2 linked regions of the Drosophila melanogaster genome follow. The protein of the gene in region 1 purifies or fractionates together with the protein of each later gene. This does not show direct contact. Each region holds a gene or a part of one and is shown on either strand. Other genes may lie near its edges. The genes, in order: CalpA and sol.

Evidence for each region.
Region 2: the proteins of CalpA (region 1) and sol purify together in Drosophila melanogaster (affinity purification with western blotting, with the first as the bait; one study listed by BioGRID). This does not show direct contact.

The regions. Positions count from the first base shown.
Region 1 is NT_033778.4:19,423,561-19,431,064, forward strand, and holds CalpA (Calpain-A), read left to right. Parts: upstream 1-1,552; 5' UTR 1,553-1,678; intron 1,679-2,473; 5' UTR 2,474-2,484; coding exon 2,485-2,658; intron 2,659-2,786; coding exon 2,787-2,831; intron 2,832-3,069; coding exon 3,070-3,246; intron 3,247-3,307; coding exon 3,308-3,384; intron 3,385-3,453; coding exon 3,454-3,578; intron 3,579-3,640; coding exon 3,641-3,761; intron 3,762-3,817; coding exon 3,818-4,058; intron 4,059-4,116; coding exon 4,117-4,347; intron 4,348-4,409; coding exon 4,410-4,802; intron 4,803-4,865; coding exon 4,866-4,984; coding exon of another isoform or gene 4,985-5,024; exon of another isoform or gene 5,025-5,490; intron 5,491-5,676; coding exon 5,677-5,719; intron 5,720-5,777; coding exon 5,778-5,919; intron 5,920-5,977; coding exon 5,978-6,205; intron 6,206-6,262; coding exon 6,263-6,592; intron 6,593-6,653; coding exon 6,654-6,739; 3' UTR 6,740-7,004; downstream 7,005-7,504. UniProt on the Drosophila melanogaster protein: Calcium-regulated non-lysosomal thiol-protease. Involved in the organization of the actin-related cytoskeleton during embryogenesis.
Region 2 is NC_004354.4:21,347,736-21,354,040, forward strand, and holds the start of sol (small optic lobes), read left to right. Parts: upstream 1-2,544; 5' UTR 2,545-2,873; coding exon 2,874-3,115; intron 3,116-3,899; exon of another isoform or gene 3,900-4,026; coding exon of another isoform or gene 4,027-4,031; intron 4,032-4,124; coding exon 4,125-4,750; intron 4,751-5,017; coding exon 5,018-5,930; intron 5,931-6,305. Other genes in the region: peng (penguin), read right to left, coding at 1-198, 267-969, 1,571-2,016. UniProt on the Drosophila melanogaster protein: Has a role in eye development. Calcium-regulated non-lysosomal thiol-protease.

The sequences.
Region 1 (7,504 bases):
AACACATCATCCGGTAGATGCAAGAATACTCACCGGTACTTTTAGTATTCTTTTAAATTCGTTGATCCTCCAGTGGCCGCTAACACAGGCACAGGTCACAAATACAACGGTCACACTCACTGTATGTGTTAGAGGAGAAACGCACGCGTTTTTTATAAATGTATTCTCGCTCTCGCACCTCGGTTTTTGGTTTTCAGCCGCTAATTCGTACAAACACACATACGCCACAGAGGGAGACTATCAATAAAAGGGGAGGGAGAGGGTAGAAAATTTTAATAGATTTAACTTTTTATTGCCTTGAATGCAATATGTTTAAAATAAATAATTTTGTTCTCTTTTGGGCTTCTTGCACTACACCAAATAACTGTTAATATTTTTTTTTTTGCAAAATTGCCGCTCCTAACAGCACTTAGCACTTTTAATTCTTTGAATTAAATTTTAGTTGCACCGCAGCGAATAAATATTTCAAGTTGAATTGCCTACGAGAACTTAATCCAAAATCGTACGGACACGTCCGACGGGCAGAGCACGAATGAAGCGCAAAAGAGAACTGCGCACGGACAGTGGCAAAGAAGCCGAGAGAGAGAGGGCGGGCAGTGTTAGGCAACGTCAAGTGGAGATGTTGAAAACAACTAAACTGAAGTAACTTCCAGACAAACTGGCTTCCAAACGGGGTTAACTAAATTCGGTAAACAATCGAAAAGCATTAGTTTGCCTTGCAAATCACTCAAATTGCGCAAAAGTGTTCAAGAGAATACGAGAAGAGAGCGAAGGAAAGTGGGAGAGAGAAAGAGAGTTCTTCATCCTGCAACGCCCAAATATACACGCTTGTGTGTGTGCGAGAGAGTGTATGGGGAGGAACGAATATTTGGAGCAAAGCGCAGGGGAAAATAGCGGTGCAAGTCCTTTTTGCCACCTTGACCACAAACAAAAAACGCCTTTTTTGGCGCTCTCTTCGCACTTTTAGGTATTCTTCGCACAAAAACTATGTCAATTAAGCCGCACACGTCGATTATGTCATATTATTTATACGAATACACTTTCACACACAAGCGCCGCGCCATATACACACATTCGTGTCCGTGCGTGTGTGTGTATGAACGGCGTCGCATTCTCGTCACCGGCAATGCCGTGAAAAAATCGATGGTCAATTTGCTGTACGGGTGTATTCGCCTCTATTTTCTCGTTTCATTTAATAAAGTCTATCACTAATTTTAGAAGCCCACTAATTGGTCAATGGGTTCGATAAAACCACTGCTTACAATTTGTAAATGCTGAACTTCACGAAATTTCGCCCGCGTGATGTGTTTCGTTTTCGATATTTCGTACTACGATTTTGTTAGGGATGGACAAACCTGACGCATGTCAATGGGTCGATATTTGTTTGAAATATCGATGCTCTTATCGAAATATTTTTCAGTAAAATCGGGCGATTATCGATATATTTACATTGAAATAGGGCTGGCAAATCACAAATTTCGGCAAAATACTTCGATAAAAATAAATACCAAAACATTCGATAGCAGTCAGGTGTTGAGCTACAGATATAAATATTTGTAGTGAGTAAATATCTCCGTGCGGTGAAGGTGCGTGGTTCCGTTACTTTATTGTTGTGCTGTGATTTTGGGGAGTGAAAGTGCGTGATTCGATTCGGAAATCGTTCTCTCGACCAATCAAGGTCCGTTGGAAAATGGGCAAATATATATAGTATTAGAAATATCAAGTGCCTATGACGAATATACTATTCTTTACGAAAATATGGTGGTCACGGGAATGAGCCAGGCCAGAAGAATGCATTAATTACCAAACCTGTTTGGGTTTCGCCGTAGAATTACCAATGTTCGCAAATACAATAACAGATGGGTCAGCCAATCTAGCATATTTCGCCCCAATTAAAGGCCAATTTACTATTGTCACAGAAATATATACCCTATATGTGTCGTACATATGTAGTAGTTCCATGGGTCAATGTCAATATCCCGGCTTAATATGGATAAAAAACGAAGCTTAATCTCCCGAATGGCGCACACCCTTTGAGTCACTAGAGAATCTCATGCTTCCGAATGATGTCACACAATATAGCATATATATATAGCGGCTACATATGTATAAATACAGCATTGTATATGTAGAAACATTTGAATTATATTTGGGTGCGAACCGAGACATTCTTGTCTCCAAAGTATAATTTCAGTTTGCGTGAATTAAAGTAATTTCATTTAGCCCGACTTCCAGTCACACTGGGAATACTAACGATTCTGTAATGCTCGTTAAACCATATTTATGTCTCTGGGTGTGCTTTTAATTCCACCGCGAGGCTTATAAGTAAATATGGGCGATATAAAAAATATTGGATGTTGCTAACTAGTCATCAAATGTTTGAACAATAAATATTTATTAATGGGTTTTTAATCTGAGGCGGCACCTTACACTGCTAACTGATATTAAACTATATATGTACATATATTTTCAGATATCTGCACGATGGACGACTTGAGGGGATTCTTGAGGCAAGCGGGACAGGAGTTCCTCAATGCAGCTGGTGAGGCTGCAATGGGAGCGGCCAAGGATGTGGTCGGATCGGTGATCAACGAGATCTTCATCAAGAAGGAGGCCGACACCAAGAGGGTTCTGCCCAGCATCAAGAATATGAGAGTTGTAAGTTGACCCACACGGTTATCAACAGTTATTTATAGGGCGCTATACTATACTAAACAAACATAGAAAACAATCCATTGAAATCTACATATGCATGTTAACAAATACATATACATTCCACTCATTAGCAACCATTGCAATCTCAAAGTAATAGTACGTTGTACTATGGGAACGTAAGTACCTACTCCCGTCATCGTAATGGCATTGACATAATTCCATTCCAAGGATAATGCGCTGCCAAAGTGTCGTACTGTGTTGTCCTTGTGTTCTTTTTCTTTCGCATGTAAAGTGTAAAACGCATCATCGTTTATACAACTCCATTACACAACTTTATCGTGTACATACATAATACTCTTAATCAAGTTCATCAATTTTGTTAGATTCATATCACTAATAGCATGTATTTTTTAGCTGGGAGAGAAGAGCTCGAGCCTGGGACCCTATTCCGAGGTGCAGGACTATGAGACAATATTGAACAGCTGCCTGGCCAGTGGTTCCCTTTTCGAAGATCCACTTTTTCCGGCTTCGAACGAGTCTCTTCAGTTTTCCCGGCGTCCAGATCGTCACATCGAATGGCTGAGACCTCATGTAAGTTTTAGATACTACCATATTACCCGTAACTAAAGGTATAAATGCTTTAATTATAAAGGAAATTGCCGAGAATCCCCAGTTTTTTGTGGAGGGTTATTCGCGTTTTGATGTTCAGCAAGGCGAGCTTGGTGACTGGTAAGAACAAAATCTCTATTTCCGCAGCCAGAATAATTAATAGTTTTAAATAAATGCTTACATTTACAGTTGGCTCTTGGCTGCCACAGCCAATTTAACTCAGGAATCCAACCTTTTCTTTCGGGTAATTCCAGCGGAACAGAGTTTCGAGGAGAACTATGCTGGTATCTTCCATTTCCGCTTTTGGCAGTATGGTAAATTATTTATTAAAAAAATTATTCATGCGCTTCTTACAATTTTAGTTTAAAATTTTAAGGTAAATGGGTTGATGTAATCATTGATGACCGTTTGCCCACTTATAATGGAGAGCTGATGTACATGCACTCCACGGAGAAGAACGAGTTCTGGAGCGCCCTGCTGGAGAAGGCTTATGCCAAGTAGGACTACATTATTCACATACTTTATGGTCAACTGATGTATATATGCTTTCTAGACTTCATGGATCCTACGAGGCACTAAAGGGAGGCAGCACTTGCGAGGCCATGGAGGACTTTACTGGCGGCGTATCCGAGTGGTACGATTTAAAAGAAGCACCCGGCAATCTATTCACCATTCTGCAAAAAGCAGCTGAACGCAATTCCATGATGGGATGCTCGATTGAGCCTGATCCAAATGTCACGGAGGCAGAAACTCCTCAGGGCTTAATCCGTGGTCACGCTTACTCCATAACCAAGGTTTGTTCGGAAAATTGCTATGATAAGAACATTTTATTAATTAATCTTATGTCAACAGGTTTGCCTTATTGACATAGTAACGCCAAATCGTCAGGGAAAGATCCCTATGATAAGAATGCGAAATCCTTGGGGCAATGAAGCCGAGTGGAATGGACCATGGAGTGATAGCTCACCAGAATGGCGCTATATACCCGAGGAACAGAAGGCGGAGATTGGACTAACATTCGACAGAGACGGAGAGTTCTGGATGTCCTTCCAAGATTTTCTTAACCACTTCGATCGCGTGGAGGTAGGACTATTAATATTTCTTGGTGAAATATTTCATGATTCATTCGCCATGATTTTGTTCAGATTTGCAATTTGTCGCCGGACTCACTGACCGAGGACCAACAAAACAGTGGCAAGCGAAAGTGGGAGATGTCCATGTATGAGGGAGAATGGACACCCGGTGTTACAGCTGGTGGTTGCCGCAATTTCCTGGATACCTTCTGGCACAACCCCCAGTATATTATCACCCTAGTCGATCCTGATGAGGAAGACGAAGAGGGACAGTGCACCGTCATCGTGGCCTTAATGCAAAAGAATCGCAGATCGAAGCGCAATATGGGAATGGAGTGTCTGACCATTGGTTTCGCTATCTATAGCCTTAATGATCGCGAACTGGAAAACCGTCCCCAGGGTCTGAACTTTTTCAGATACAAGTCTTCTGTGGGAAGATCGCCGCACTTTATCAACACCCGCGAAGTACGTATACGGATATATCCAGGATATGGCTGCAATCACTTAACATATGCGTTTCTTATTTAGGTGTGTGCTCGCTTCAAATTGCCTCCTGGTCACTACCTGATTGTGCCTTCAACTTTCGATCCAAACGAGGAGGGAGAGTTCATCATTCGAGTGTTCTCAGAAACTCAAAATAACATGGAGTGCGTACAAGTAGACAATGACAATGAGTTTGTATATTAGAAATAATGAGGGGTTTCTATAACTAAAAGCTTCTTACGTGCAATATGTGGTATGTTGTGACTATAGTATTCTTTAATCTCTAGTGCTAGTAAATGTTTGACTAGATTTGTTTCTTTACCCTCTACACATTCCTGACAGATAAGTTGGTTATGCCATTTTTTAATCACTCCTCTTATATATATTTTTACCTGAGATTAACGCCTGCAGTATTCCAGAAACTCGAAATATATTTCTTCTAGATAAATTCAAATGTAATGTCGGTCTGTCTGTTACATGTTAAGAATAATTCTGATCAATATGAAGTTCAATTTTCTTAATTTATCAGTTATAAAAAGGGTGGCGGCAGCAACATAGTGAAATCTATTAACAAAGTTAAATTTTTCGGTTTATTTTTAACCCTTGTTTAAATTGTATTTTTGTCATGTAACGAGATATTTATTAAAGTAATAATAAAGGAAACTTCCACAACAATATACTTTTAAAAATGGACCCCAACAAATTAAGCTCATCTTGAAAATCTGCTTCTCAATACTCATTAGGCCATTCGAAATCCTTGTACTGTAAATTGTATTGTATTCCATTTGTTTCTCTATAAACGAATTGTTTTCCATTCATTTCAATATCAATCATTTCGCTTTTCACTCCCATCTAGAGAGAATGATGATCATGTGGGTTATGGCGGCAAAGCCGATACGGTAAGTTAACTGTGGTCAATGGGATCGGGATCGCTTATTCAGAAATTTCGCTTTAAAGATTACGCCAGGATTCCCAACACCCAAGCCCATCGATCCTCAGAAGGAGGGCTTGCGACGCCTCTTCGACAGCATTGCCGGCAAGGACATGGAGGTGGATTGGATGGAATTGAAACGCATTTTGGACCATTCGATGAGGGACGGTAAGGCTCGAGATTAAAAACTACTCAAATGGCTTTTCAAACAACGATTTCCTTTCAGATTTACCCAAACCAGTGGTTTTCAACCGTTTCTCCAATAACATGGCCTTTGAGACCCAGGCTGCTGGCCCTGGTGACGATGGAGCTGGCGCTTGTGGACTTTTATCCTTGATTTGTGGACCGTTTTTGAAGGGTACGCCATTCGAGGAGCAGTTGGGAATGAATGATCAGTCGAACAAGAGGCTGATAGGGGACAATCCGGCGGATGGAGGTCCTGTAACAGCAAATGGTAAGATGATATATATACGCTTTTAAAAAAGACTAGAATACAAAGAAATTTTTACAGCAATTGTGGATGAGACTCATGGCTTTTCCAAGGATGTTTGCCGCTCCATGGTTGCCATGTTGGATGCTGATAAGTCTGGAAAGCTGGGATTCGAGGAGTTCGAGACTTTGCTCTCGGAAATTGCCAAATGGAAGGCCATATTTAAGGTCTATGATGTTGAGAATACGGGCAGGGTATCCGGATTCCAGCTTCGCGAAGCTCTTAACTCTGCTGGCTATCATCTAAACAATCGTGTTCTAAATGTTTTGGGCCATCGATATGGTTCTCGTGATGGCAAAATAGCCTTCGATGATTTTATCATGTGCGCTGTTAAAATCAAGACATATATTGGTAATGTGAATGTGGTTCTAATTTATAAAAGTGAAAATTCTATGGTAAACTTTTCTTGTAGATATATTCAAGGAGCGCGACACCGAGAAGAACGAAACAGCCACCTTTACGTTGGAGGAGTGGATAGAGCGCACAATATATTCGTAAAGGATATAAATCTAAGCTAGCAAATCAACTCGAACAAATATTTACATGGAATCTCTTAATGGCTATATCCAATATTTTTCTTTATATAGTACAAAACAAACTTCACTTCCGAAAAAGATTTCATCCAATATAATCACGTCATTGTTTGTATGTCGATGGGTGTTGTTACCGAATTTAATGACTTGTTGACCCAATAAAAAGATTTATTACATTTGCATTTGTAACGTGAGCCGATGTTAACTTATTAAAGAATTCCATACCCCGTATTTTCTAAGATGTTTATTTATGGGGACGATTAAAAAATGTTCCTTCTTTGGATTCAACGAATAACTGAAAAAAAGAAACAACGCTTTTTGTTTAGTTAATCTTTTTATTTTTTGTGATTGAACCTTGCACCAAAATAATTAGCTTCGAGTAAAGCCTATAATGGTAAACTATAAATCACAATATAAATGTCTTAAAACACACCCGAATTGATGATGAATTTAATTTTTAGTTGTATTAGATCGAGTAGATTATCTATAAATTACTATTACTAGCCATCTTCAATCAAAAACGTGTCTTTGTTTCTTAAATTATTTTGACTACATGACGATGTGAGAATGCGGCCGGCCGAGTTGGGGTCTCGTCAAACTTTTTAGTGAGTAAGTATGTTCAAAGCTATGTATATTCCGTACGTAAATAAGCGAATTATCCGCTGAATAGTTCGTGGGATATACATATTCTGATATATATTAAGTATTTACAGTAGTTAGATCGTTAAGT
Region 2 (6,305 bases), on another chromosome or scaffold:
AGCCACCAGCCATTGAATCACTCGTCGGCCGTACGGGCTGCTCATTAGCGCCTTTAGATCTCCGTGTAGGTGATCGTAAATTGCCTTCTTGGTCGCCTTAGTGTCGTCCAGTGCGTTTAGCAGCGAGATGAGGAACACGTGGCCGTGCTCATGGTTGGCGATCTTTAGCAGGTGCTCCTTGATATTCTTGATAATGGCCTGAAGAAGGGGTTAGAATACATATAAGATTCTGTTTCATCAACACACGTTATACGTGATCCACTTACTCTGCGATTCTTGGGCGTCGACTTGTAGAAGCATATAACAGCCGCCTCGCTGCCCTCCTTGGTGGACAGCATGTGAGGCACTAGAGCCGCAAACGCAGTGACCGTCTCCTCCAGCTTCTCCTCATCTTCGTCGCAGGCGCGCAGGTACTCCAGCATCACGGCGTGCACCAGCGCACTGTCCACCAGCTGCTTGTTGGCCACATGATCCAGGTTTGCTTTAACCGACCCCAAAATGGAGGCCTTCATGTTCGTGGCCTCCTTATAGGTGTCGCTCAGAGTCTTCACATTCGAATCCTTGGCCTTCCGGTACAGATCGCCGTAGAACTCCTGGCGCATATAGATGCGCTGATTGGGTGTGGCGCTCTGATACATCGAATCCAGCAGCCCACTGCCGATGCTGTGTCCGGCCAAACGCACTATATGTCCGTACAGGCTGTCCACCAGCTTGGCTTTGGTGGCTGGCGCACCGTACTTGAGCATCCGTTGCACGCAGAACTGGGCGTATTTCGACTGGCACATCTCCACGGTGAAGGGAAGCAGCTTCTCAGAGATCTCGGCCCGCAGAGCTGGCGACGCGTACTTTAGCATGCTCTGGATCACGCGGGCGGTGTCGTGGGCCTTCACCACCTTTGAAATAGTGTCGCCCACGTTGAGCACCTTGTATATCTGCTCCACCAGCTTGTCCTTGTTCTCCGTTCGGCGGCTGCAAGACAAGCACCAAATTATGTTGATATATATATATCAGAGCAATAGGATTTGCGCATTCATTAGTTGTAATTTTACGAAAAAAAAAAAAAACGCGACAGAGGATAGAGCTGGTTTGTTTATGACCAAACAAAACAGCATGCGCTAAATAGGCGTCTTTGGAATCTACGCTCTTGGTTCTAACTCAACATTTATACAGAAATACAAGGCTATATTAACTTAGTTTTGATACTGATCAAAATGCTTAACTAGCTATTATTGTTTCAAGAACATGAATAAAATGTTTGGTGTTTTTGAATTCGAACCAAGTGGCAATGTTCGGTTTTTCCACGAACAGGTGCTTCGTTTTGGGATCCACATGGCCATGTTTATCGATATCTTGTCCTTTAAGGAACCAAAATGACTTATAATTATTAAAACTATATCGTATAGATTGATGCCTTATGAAATTTAAACAACTTTGTACGTTCTGAATGTACATAAGTGCATGAAAGAGCCCGATTTTGTTGAGCTATCATAATTTGTATAGGTAATTTGAGCGCTAAGGATGATAATAACCGATTGTTTGGGCTGTTCATCGTGTTTTTGGGGATGCTCACCATCGCAACTTCTCGTGGATCTGGTTGGCCTCCTTGCTGATCTCGTAGGTGTCCTTGGCACTCTTGCGCTTCAGCTTGAGGTCCTTCTTCTCCTTCTTGAACTTGTTCCAGTCCTGTTTCTCGCCCTCCGCCGGCGCCTGTGGCTGTGTTTGTGGTTTTCCGCGGAACTTGTTGCCACCAAGCCTCTTGTCGCCGGTGGCTCCGGATTTGTCAAACTTCTTGAAGCCACCGGGCCCAGACTTGTCGAACTTCTTGGCACCACCAGCGCCTGGCTTTACAAACGACTTGCCTGCTCCTCCGCCGAATTTGTCGAACTTCCTGGCGCCTCCTGCTCCACCGGGCTTAAACTTCTGTCCGTTGGCGCGCTTGCCGGACGATTCATGGGCCTTGAGGGGCGAGGCCGTGTTGGCCACGTTAGCAGGTCCTTTCGGCTCCGAGCTAACCATCTTTGCTGCGTTTTCTTGGACACTACAACTAAATAACAGCAAATGTTTTTGCCAAAAAAGCGAACTACACGTGCTGCTGATGCAGAGTGACCAGATTGTTGCAGTATACCCAAGCTGTGTAAATACCAAAATCTGGTATTTTCGTTCCACATACAGTAAGTATCAATGAAGTGCTTCTATTTGTTTAAAATTTAACTCAAGTTAATGCGTTCAGTTCAATTTGACTTTCCATTTGAAAGCGGCTAAAAAATAATAATCCATGTCTAAATATTAAATTTAAACTCTTCCTAAACTAAGCTCCTCAATGTTGATTACTTGTTATAGAAGGTCAAATAATTTTATGCATGTATTTGCGTCGTTTTATGAATATATGTATGTATTCATTCCCAAAAACATATTAGAATTGGTCTAAAAATTGAAGGTACCGATTTTTCATTAACGGCACTTGCCAACACTGGCTTTGCGGGGTAGCAGCCGTGTTTCTCGCGCTGGCAACCCTGTCCGGCAGAGTTCACGCACTCGGGCAACCTTGTCGTTGGAGGTGTTCGCGAACGTCGACAACCCTAGCGGCAACAGTTAAAAAATGGTGTGAAACGGCGACGGAGAACGCGGCGTGCAACTGTTGGAAGCCACTGCTTGGTCCTCGTTTTGGTCCCGGGTTCTGGTCCTCCTATTGATCTCCATCTCCGCCCGGCCACCAGCTCGAAAGCGCACCTACACATCATAGTTTCCATAGACAGTCCCAGTTCCACATCCACTCCCCCGCCAGCCAGCCAACAACAACAAAAACAACAACAGCAAGAGAAACAACTCAGAAGTCGAAAGGAATCTGGGAACTCCTGCGACTCCCCCGCGCAATGGGCACCATCTCATCCGTGCTGCAGTGGTCGTGCACCAAATGTAACACTATCAATCCCACGGAGTCGCTCAAGTGCTTCAATTGCGGCACCGTCCGCAAGGTGTTCCCCCAACAACAGCAGCAGCAGCATCGCAGCAGCAGCATCACCGCCTCCTGGACAGCTGATGATGCACTGGAGCAGGAGCAGGCGGAGAAGGGGCAGGAGAGGGACAAGGAGAAGGGCAGGGCGGCGGTTGCCAGGTAAGCGAAGCGGTCGCCACAAAAACAAACAGCCTGTATGCCTCCTCTGCGAGGATGTGCCTGTGTGTGTCTGTGTCTGTATGCGTGTGTGTGTGTGTGTATGTGGGCGCCAGTGGTGGCATCCAATTGGAGGACAAAAGCGCTAGCTAAAATCATGTCGCATATGGTAATGTGTATAGAAATCGGTGGCGTTTTCAAATCCAACTTTTTTCGCACACACATTGTATGCACACTTTGGAAAATATACAAATACACAAATATGTACATACTTTCATCGGTAAAATTCGTCAATCAAAAACCTTAACTTTCAAAGAATAATAATACCAAAAGCTTACCAACGTAAGCTCCTATGCTGAACTTTAATATCCAAAGAGCAGACCGAGTAAATCTTAGTAAATTTTATAGTTCTCACTAACCCTTTTGTGCATAATGAAACTTAAAGAATAAGAAAACAATGAAATCGGTTAGGAAAATCCTGATTAACTATCCATAGGAATAACTCGAATGGGAGTATAGGAATAAGTTGAAAGATTTTTATATTACGAACTTAAGTTTCGAAAGGCTAGGAAAAGGTACAGTGTGTACAAGTACACAGTTCAAAAGTCTAGCTTTAAAAGCCAAGCCGTCGGCACTGGTGATTGTCCCTGAGCGTGTGTGTGTGTGTGTGTGTGTGTGTGCGCGAGTGTGTGTATGTGAGAGCATGTATACACAGCAGAGGCAGAAGCAACAACAAAACAGCCGAGGAGCAGCGAGAATTGGGGAAAATCGATTTGGATAAAGAAGCATTGTTTACAAGTTTATCGATTCGCGAACTCGCTCGGCGATCTGAAGAGCAAAAGAGGTGTAGGAACAACTTCCGAGTCGAGCGGACGAGCGGAGAGTAGGAAAATGGCCAGTCATTGAGATAACCTTTGCGGTCAGGAAGTGGGGAAAGCCCAAACAGCTCAAGAACACCGAATCCCATCCAAACCCGACGAAAAACGAAAAACCCCATTTCCCTATTTTGCAGGAGCGAGTACAAGCATGTGTACAAGTCCCTGCTGCGCGGATGCTTGAAAAGACCACAGCGGAACAGCCAGAATCTGCCCGCCAACTGCGTGGATTGCGAGGACACGCGCAAGTACATCAAGAGCTCTATTGAGCTGTACCGCCACTTCTCGAATCCGGCCCTGAATCGGCGGTGGGTGTGCCACGCCTGCGGCACGGACAACAGCTCGGTCACCTGGCACTGCCTCATCTGCGACACGGTCAGCTATCTGGCGCCCATTTACAAGGACGCCATCGCCGCCGACCGAGGCCAGGATCTGGCTGGCAGCCTGGGCAATCGCGGCGAGCTGCTGGCGGCGGACCATTCACATCCACATCATCATCACCACTACCTCCACCAGGAACTGGAGGAGCAGCATCAGCATCAGTTACATTCCCAGCACTTGCATAAGCGCCACCTCAAAGGTAGATCTGCATCCGGATCGGGATCCGGACCGGGCTCGGGTTCTGGACTGCGCCGCACCCAGAGCCTGAGCACCGCTATCGACAAGAGCGCTTCCGGGCGCAGCTGCCACATTTGCTATGCGAACAACCAGAGCAAGGACATCTTCAATCTGCCGCAGATCAAGCCGGCGCCGCAGCTGACAGGTGCGTTCATCAGCTAACGAACTAATGAAAGGTTAAAGGTTACTTGAGGAAATAACTATAAGGTATTCTTATTGGCCAGCCTATCGTTTCCAAATTTTTACTAGAAGAAACTCTTTAAATGGACAACCGAATTATTTAAAGTCTATTCTCTTTTTGTAAAGTTCTTAATCTTAGTCAGATCATGATGAAAGTGTTAGCTTCCCATAACCGGAATGCACGCACTTGTTATCCGATAATCCAATTCTAATCCCTATGTGTTTCTCGCAGGGATTCCCCCCGTGGCCGCCTGCAGCAACTCCCGTTTTGCCATCGCCAACGACACTTTTTGCAGGCGCAAACAGAACAACAATAACAAGAACCAGAATCACAAGGTGGTTCGCGAGAGCGGTGCCAAGCGGAAGTACAACTTTACCATCACCACGCTCTCTCGGTCGGCGGCCAAGGATGCCGGCCATGGCCAAATGAAGCCACTGCGTCAGGTCGTTAATCTAAATCTGAATCTACAGCAGGAGCCGCAGCAGAAGTCACCGGCTAATCCGCAGCAGCTGCAGCGGAAAACCCAGCGGGAGCCAGCAGCAGTGAGTATGAATCCCACGCAGTTCACCATTCCGCGGAACGGCGTCTTCATAGCCGTCAACGAGTGGTCGGAGCCAATGGCCAGCAGCTCCTCCGTCTCCTCTAGCTCCAACCATCATCATCACCATCACAGCAACAGCAATAGCAATAGCAGCGGTAACAGCAACATCATCAACAACAACAGCAGCAGCTCCAGCGGCAGCAACAAGTTGTATGAGAACGAATGCGTGGCCCTGGCCCAGCAGCAACTAAGAGCAGCTGCTGCGCAGGCGGCACAGGCAGCCGCGACGGCGGTGGCCATTGCGAGTTCGCCATCAGCTAAGGCTATGGCCGAACCAGCTCCAACGGCTACCATGCCCATCTATGCGCAGGTGAACAAGCAGCACAAGCTCAAGAAGAAGCAACAGATTGCCAGCGAATCGCAAACGAACAACAACACTGGCAGTGGCGAGATCGCGGATGCGGTCAGTGAATCCCTTACCGCCGGACTAGGCACTAGCACCGATGGCAGCGGCGAGGCCAGCGAATCCGAGTCGCAGGTGGAGGAGCACTCCATCTACGCCAAAGTGTGGAAGGGACCGCGCAAGGCGACCGAGTCGAAAATGTAATTGGCAGCTAGCGTGCGACCGAGATTAGTCCACACCCATCCAACTTCCTATCCCCCGCAGAAGCTTATCAGTTGGCTACGTTTTTATTTTTGCTGATAATTTGCGTGGCGCTTAGTCACTGCGGCCTTCTGTTTGTATTTCGCCCGTCCACCAGCTTTTATTTTTATTCTGCCCGCTATAAGTTCAGTTGTATTATTTAAGCAAATTGTTTATGGGCATGATTTAAATTAATGATTGGCTTGCCACAAGATTGTCACAACTTGGTTGAGGTAATTAATTCATTCGCAATCGTGCTGATCTCGGCTATGACAATCTGTGGTTCAAGTGTTCAATTTAATTACATTTTGATTTCGCCTATCTCCCGTGTTGAA